2 linked regions of the Oryzias latipes genome follow. The protein of the gene in region 2 purifies or fractionates together with the protein of the main gene of each other region. This does not show direct contact. Links are inferred from orthologs where the notes say so. Each region holds a gene or a part of one and is shown on either strand. Other genes may lie near its edges.

Region 1 (3,652 bases), on a different chromosome or scaffold from region 2:
GACGATGAGAGGGAGGTGCTCACTTTATCAAAGCTGGCAAACCCATCGGCTTCCCGTACGCTCTGACGAGGAGGGGAGGAGGGGGCGAAGGGGTCGGCTAAAGGGTCCTTGACAGGCAGGGAGGAGGAGGAGGAGGAGGAGGAGGAGGAGGAGGAGTCCCCGGCGGTCTGTGGGAGGAACGGCGCTCTTCGCTGGAAGGAGGAGTCGGAGGACTCGGTTCTAGAGACAGACGATCTCTTACCTGCCGGGGGGGGGCACAGACAGGCTTGAGCGTTACGACAGACAGCCGAGGCGTAGCGCCTACGGGTACTGACCTGGGGGGGGAGGGGGAGGTCTCGTGGGTGTACCGGTTTTGGGGGGCAGAGCTGGCGGCACGTCGGCACTTGCAGGCGGGGTTTCGTCCTGGAAAAGGTTCTTGTTGTTGATGCCAAACTGGTCGGGTCCGTTTGACTGAAACGGAGACATTCAGAACACCGGAGCTCATTGACTGTATGGGAGAACTGGACTGAGTGGCCCCTCCCCCTGGCGTTCCAAACAGGAAGTAGGCTTCAACAAGTTAAAATCCCACAGACTTCCTTAGATAAACAGCTGTTACTCTTTCATTCTGTTGGTCAGAAGAACCATCTTCTTCATCCCTTTTTCTGTAATTCAAGTTATTTATGTCATAAACGGACCAATCAGATGTTTCAATAAAAGTAGGCGGAGCCATGTCAAAAGTTCAAAACCTCTGACAGATTTGTCGTAGGTGTCCGAATTGGGAATAAACGGCGACTGAATTGACTTTAAGCGGGAAGCAAAAGCATTTTCTACGGACGCCACTCTCACGCAGTCCGGGTAAAGAGTCGATGCCTGAGCTCCTTCAGGTACGACGTCCACAATCCCTTCACCTGTACCTTCACCTGCATCACCGTTTCATTCAGGGGGGGGGCTAGAACCCAGCGTACGGTACCACCGGGATGGTAGAAACACGGGGATGTCAGTGGTTGAATTCTACTCAGTTCTAGCCGTTCATTGCAACTTCCAAGCGATTGTGGGCGGGCTTATCTGAGAACAGGTGAGGCTGCGTGGGTGGGCGGAGCTTCAGGCACAATGCTTAACCTTTGCTGCACTAAACAAAAGTTTCTGATTCAGTGACCTGGTGGAGGGAGTGACGCGTAAAAGAAAGACTGTCGGCTGTTGAAACAAAGTGTCTTGCCCCATCTTTTATTTGACCTTTAACCTTAAGGCATTCAGAGTGAACAGCAAAGGAAGCATCTGATTGAACCAGGAAAAATATGACAATAAACCCTTTGAATCCTTGAATCCCTGCGCTCTTTTTGAAGCAGCAGGAAAAGATCAAATCTAAAAAACATCCAACCATACTCGGCAGCAGTAATCAGAATACTCTGGAGTAACAGAGTACCTCATACTCCTTCACACACCAACACAGTGCATCAGAAATTTACCTCCACCCGAAATTCAAACCAATTCCAACAAAACTGTGGGAGTTTTTTTCCAACAGGGTGTAAATGTTCATACTTTCAAATCTCCTGCTGGAATCAGAACAACAAACGGATCTTTCTGCCAGAGTCCAAATACTTTAAGGTTTTAACAAACGACCATTTACCTTAGTCAAGGCACTAAAATCCGCAAAGCCTTCTCCAAACGATTCGTTACCAAACACGGCAGCAAAGGGATCTGAAAGAAGAGCAAAAGATTCTGATTAGTTCCAGGTGCTGCCAGAAGGGGGCGCTGCGTCTGTGGAAATACCTGGATCTGAGGAGGCGTTTCCTTTAGTACCACCTGGAGCAAAGGGGTCGTTGTTGAGGGAGGGGGGCTTCTATAAAAGGAAGGAAAACAAAACAAGGCAAAGATTCAACTTTATTTTATTTTTTAAGGGCTGATGAAGTAAAACAAAAAATTAAGAATTGAACACTAGAACTTATTTAATCTCCTACATTTATATGCAGTATTTCAACATTAAAAGTTAAGTCTTGATATTATTTTACTTAAAGAATCAGATTTTTTTCGTTTAATTGATTTCATTTTTCATTTCAATCAGAACAAAAAAGTCAAATTTAAAACAATGTTTTCCTCTTAGACTTTAAGGAACCTAAAGTTTTTTATTTAAAATGAATTATTAAACATTCAGCTGTTTAATTTTGAACCTTTTAAAGGTTTTTCAAAACAAGATTACGTATTTTAAAGCAGTGTTTGGGATCTAAGGGCCAGATTTGGATCAGATCAGGAACCAAAGCCGACCCACTCACCACTGTCAGCTCAGAGCTGGGTGGAGAACTGCTGAACGGGTCTGATCCTCCGTCCTGAGAGGCAAACGGGTCCGTCTCGCCCTCCACAGGGCTCGCCTTGAACGGATCGGCGGCGTTCCCCTGGTTCTGAGCGGAGCTGAACGGATCTTTGGGCGCTAGAGGAGGATTGGAGTCCTTGGAGACGAAGGGGTCCGCCGCTTGTCCTGAAGCCGCGTCATTCAGCTTGGACGCAAACAGGTCCGGTTCTGGTATGCCGGGAGTCGTACCGAACGGGTCGGCCGGAGCGGAGAAGGGGTCCTCCGTGGAGAAGGCGACTTCGGAGGTCTGCGCGAAGAAGGAGTCCACGGCGAAAGGGTCTGTACCTTTAAACGGATCTCCCTCAAACGGATCTGCCCCAAACAGAAAAGGTAAAGGAGATAAGTTCCCCTCTGACATCAAAGGGTCTGTTTTTATCATAAACATCAATGTCAATCAAAGAATTCACCAGCTCCGCCCGATTTTCCGAAGGGATCATCTTTAAAGGGATCGTCTGCGAGGAAAAACAATAACGTCATCGACATATTTTCATCAGACTGTCAAACATAGGAGCTTGGACCTTCATCAGCTCGGTCAGAACAGAACCCGTCCAGCACTTACGGTCGGTAAACGGGTCGGAATGGAAAAAGTCCATTTCGGGCAGGGATGGGGGGCTGGTCTGTGGCGGTAAGGAGCGAGGGACGACCTGAGGGGGCAAAGAGGAGGCGGCCGTCTCTGCAGACTCTGACGGGTCGTCTCTGCTCTCCGGCTCTGGAGACTCCACCTGTTGGGGTCCCAGGACAAGCGTTAGCGCGCGGCGCTGACAGATGTTTACGCTCCAAGTGGAGACGACCTTCTCTAGATAAAAGGTTACACTTTTGCCGCCATTCCTCCTTCCTGCTGCACATTTAAGGGAAAGGTTCACGCTCAGAAACTCATTTGCACAGACAGATAACCCGGTGAAAAAGCATTTTGGGCAAAGTGAACAACCCCCCCCCCAAGAAAAAGAAAAATGAAATGAAAGCAGGAAAAACCATAAAATAAATGAACGGGGGCCGAAATCCCTAACGGGGCTCAAAAAATGTATAATCCACAAAAGAAACCCAAAGAGATGTCTGCGAAATACAAAGGTAGGTTTGAAATTATTATGGGATGGCCACAGCACCTACCATTTTCTGCCAAACCACGAAATTTGGCTATTGTAACATTTTCACACAATGCAGGAAAAGAAACTTTTTGTTTCAATTATCTTCATGAAATTTCAGTTTCGTTGACCTCTGACCTCGTTAGAGGTCACCAGCTTTAAAATAATTTTTAAATTTAAACTCCTCCCAAGGATTTTGATCTAGAACCTCTCAACTCCTTAAATATCTTTGGGAAACTCGATA
Region 2 (3,653 bases):
TATCTTTCTAACTTAACCAAACTCACTTAGCTTTGCCACCCTTGATCCAGTTCACACATCCACAAAAACAAATTCCAGGTGACTGTAAAAAAATTCCATATACATGTGAAAATAAAAATACAATCCATTAATAGTTTATCTGTTTTCCCCCCAACAGTTAAAAAGCAGTCTTTTTGTTTTTTTCATTGTTGGTTTTAGTTTGAAAAACAGATGAAGGAATGATACACAGATTCATATGATTGGCTGAAAGTGAAAACGCCTGGTTGGCTGATGAATTTGATTGACAGATTCATTAGCCAATGATGACATTTTTTGACCAGGCACATTAGATGAGTTTCAATATTCACCATATGCATTTCTCTCACAAATAGAGATTCACAAATGAGAGGTGATTTGTAAATGCACATTCTGTAAATCGTATGATCTGTGAGTTTATATTACAATTGTTCCTCAAATTTATGTTTGTGGAACAGTTTGTGTGTTTTGTGAAACGCTTCACATGGATTTGTGAATTTATATTAAATGTTTGCATAAATGTTTATTTGTTAATCAGAGCGTTTGTATTTGTGAAACAGTTTGTGTGCATTTCTGATTATTGAGACTGAACTCCATACACACAGGTTGATGGAGATAAAGGCAGAATGAGAAAGGTTTCTGCCAGACAAATACATCTGATTAGGAGAGCTGCTAAAACACCATTATACCGGGAAAGATGAACTGTGACGTAGAAAGGGAAGACTGTCTTCTGTTCTGTTTGACGGAGATTCAGAGAGGATTTCAGGTTGGAGCACAGACTGCAGAAGGAGGGAAGAAAATGTCACGTCTTGATCGTGTTGCCAGATAAAAATAAAAAACATGGGTCTCTGATATTGTTCAGTGGGCCGGACCAAACATGGAGGCGGGCCGGATCCAGGCCGCGGAACGTAGTTTGCCCACCCCTGACGTGAACCTTCTATTTGCCCCTCCCCTAAACAACACTCGCAAGCAGAAACAGCTGCAGTTGGTCCAGACATACGTGAAGACTTATTTTCAAACAGTCTTGTTTACTGATGATGACATACAACCCTGGATGGTCCAGATGGATGAAGTAGTGGGTGGATGGCCACCATGTCCCAACAAGGCTGCAACGCCAGCAAGGAGGTGTTAGAGTCACCTTGCGTTCTGTAACAGAATCCTCTTCTTGCATGACAAAGCACCATCTCATGCTGCAAGGAATACCTCTGCATCATTGGCTGGTAATGGGCAGAAAGGGAGATAAACTGATGGCCCCCCATGACTGAGGTCCTTTGGTGTGTGTAGGCCACTACTCAGGACCTTCTTTTAAACTGTGGTTGCATCAGCAACTTTCTAAGCAGTGGTCTGCTGGAGTGGTGGAATTACAGACAGGGACAAGAAGAAACTGGACAAGCTGATCGAGAAGGCTAACTCTGTCCCTGGGTGTCCCCTGGACTCAGTGAACTCTGTAGGTGAGAGGAGGATGCTGCCCAAGCTGCCCAGCATCCAGAACAACCCCTCTCACCCTCTGTATGAGACGGTGAGGACCATGAGTAGCTCATTCAGCCGCAGACTGCTGCAACCTCAGTGCAAAAAGGAACAATACAGGAGATCCTTTTCAATTCAATTCAATTTTATTTGTATACCCCGAATTCACAACAACAGACAAACATCCTTTGTCCCAACAGCAGTAGACTGTACAATAACATGGTATAGGACTGCTTAAATTGCTGCTGTATTTACTTATTTATTTATGACGTGTACTTTTACCACCATTTTTCACCACTACTTTTGTCTTTTTCTCTTGCTATTTGTTTTCCCAACTCTTATATTTCTTGTTTGGCAGCTGTAACTAAATTTCCCTTCAGGAATCAATAAAGTCCTATCTTATCTTATCTTATCTTATCTTATCTTATCTTATCTTATCTTATCTATTCTAGCTGGACATTTTCTGCAAAAATCCAGCGTTGTACTCCTTTACATCTGACAAAAAAAAGAAGAAAATTTAACATCTGTGAGGATAGGTCTTCTCTGCAATCCTAAATACATCAGAACTGGTCAGCATCTATGTAACCATGGTAACCGGCCATCACTGATCTTTATGAGTTACGAAATGAGGAGCTGCTGTCTTTACAGGAACAGGAAAGATGAATCTCACTTCCTGAAAGTTTCAGCTGGATTTCCGGATGACAAGGGGCCTCTTGTCCTCCCAGAATGACCTCAGAAAAAGCCCGAGCACTGTAGCACGTAAAGAGATGGTGAGAGGAGCACCGGCTAGCTTAACCAACACTTACACATGCTAGGATTAGCAGAAACACTCCACGCCAGGGGGCCCTTCCGGTCTGTATCGCGCTATGGCTAGCCCAGTCCATCAATCTCCTTTCCGCCTCAAGACCACCCGAGTGCGAGTGACTACGGAGGGTGGACGTGAGCGTCATCTTACCTATGGAGTCCCGAGGCTGTGATTTATAGCGTTCAGCAGGCTAACTCCAAGAGACGGATTATTAAAATGTACCATCGTCCACTTTCCGCTGGCTCCTTAACGGCCACACGCTCAAAGACATTACTGTTTCAGAGAGCACAAAAGTCACATCTCGCTTTTACTCAATAAATCTTTTTGAAATGACCCAAACCTGCCCTTCCCGGACAGCTAGTAAGACGAGCTAACCAGTCTTGAGCTAACGTCAGCTACTAAATCCGCTCGGTCTTTCACTTCTCTTACCTCATAGTTTCATTGTCATTCACAGGATAAATGTACTCATTCCGTGTTCATATAGCCGACTGAAAATGGTATATTATCCAAAACGGCGGCAGCTCGTCTTGAAAATCCTTTTTGTGACTCCTAGTGGATCGGGATACCAACAGACACAGCGACAACTGGAAAATGGGTTAAGGCCAGATGGATCTCGCGAGATTTGATGGACTATGGATGTAAAACATCGCGGTAGTGGAGATAAACTGATTACAGCACAGTGAACGCCTCTGTTTGATGCTGTCTTCAGGATAGCAATAAAGAACCGGCTCTTTTGGCTCAGTTCGCTAGAAAGAGGCGACTCTTTCGGCTCCCAAGCAGCTCTTTAGGTTGTTTTGCTGCTTTCCTTAGTTTATTATAAACGACAGTATATAATTATTTACAAAAGTAATTATTAGTGTAAAGATTTGTATTTATCCATTTGTTTTTATTTTATGATTATGATTTATTGATTTACTCCAGATTAATTGTAAAAAAAAATTTGCTATAAAATAAAAAAAAAACAATCATTTAAAGTTTTATTTTAACTGAAAACATTTTCTGTTTTTTCCTTGCACACACTTTAAAAGTGAAACAACACAAAGCACTGCAAGCTCAGCACAAAATATAAATTATAATTTGCCAGAAGAATAGAAAGAAAATGAACAAGTAGATTTTTATTCTTAAATAAATATCTAGACAGTTTGAAAGAACATTTTTTGTTTGTTTCAATTTTGGTAGTGTTGTTTTTGCATACAAATTATATAAACTCTAACACGGTCACTCAACCCTTGGCAACAGGCATTCAAGCAGCCACTTCCAATCTAAAGTCTATGAAAACACATGTAACCCTGGGTTTTGTGCTTCCACGTTCTAACTATTGCATTCACACATACCTGCAAAAACTTTTACAGCAGTTTTCCTGGAC

The links. Proteins that work in one complex are often made in the same cells at the same time.
Region 1: the proteins of itsn1 (region 2) and eps15 purify together in Homo sapiens (co-immunoprecipitation; 3 studies listed by BioGRID and IntAct, with this or other methods). This does not show direct contact. The link is inferred for Oryzias latipes from reciprocal best matches to the Homo sapiens genes ITSN1 and EPS15.

The regions. Positions count from the first base shown.
Region 1 is NC_019862.2:31,360,411-31,364,062, forward strand, and holds part of eps15 (epidermal growth factor receptor substrate 15), read right to left. Parts: intron 3,049-3,652; coding exon 2,886-3,048; intron 2,779-2,885; coding exon 2,734-2,778; intron 2,639-2,733; coding exon 2,250-2,638; intron 1,820-2,249; coding exon 1,750-1,819; intron 1,678-1,749; coding exon 1,607-1,677; intron 451-1,606; coding exon 315-450; intron 242-314; coding exon 24-241; intron 1-23. UniProt on the Homo sapiens protein: Involved in cell growth regulation. May be involved in the regulation of mitogenic signals and control of cell proliferation. Involved in the internalization of ligand-inducible receptors of the receptor tyrosine kinase (RTK) type, in particular EGFR.
Region 2 is NC_019873.2:531,725-535,377, reverse strand, and holds the start of itsn1 (intersectin-1), read right to left. Parts: upstream 2,902-3,653; 5' UTR 2,717-2,901; intron 1-2,716. UniProt on the Homo sapiens protein: Adapter protein that provides a link between the endocytic membrane traffic and the actin assembly machinery. Acts as a guanine nucleotide exchange factor (GEF) for CDC42, and thereby stimulates actin nucleation mediated by WASL and the ARP2/3 complex.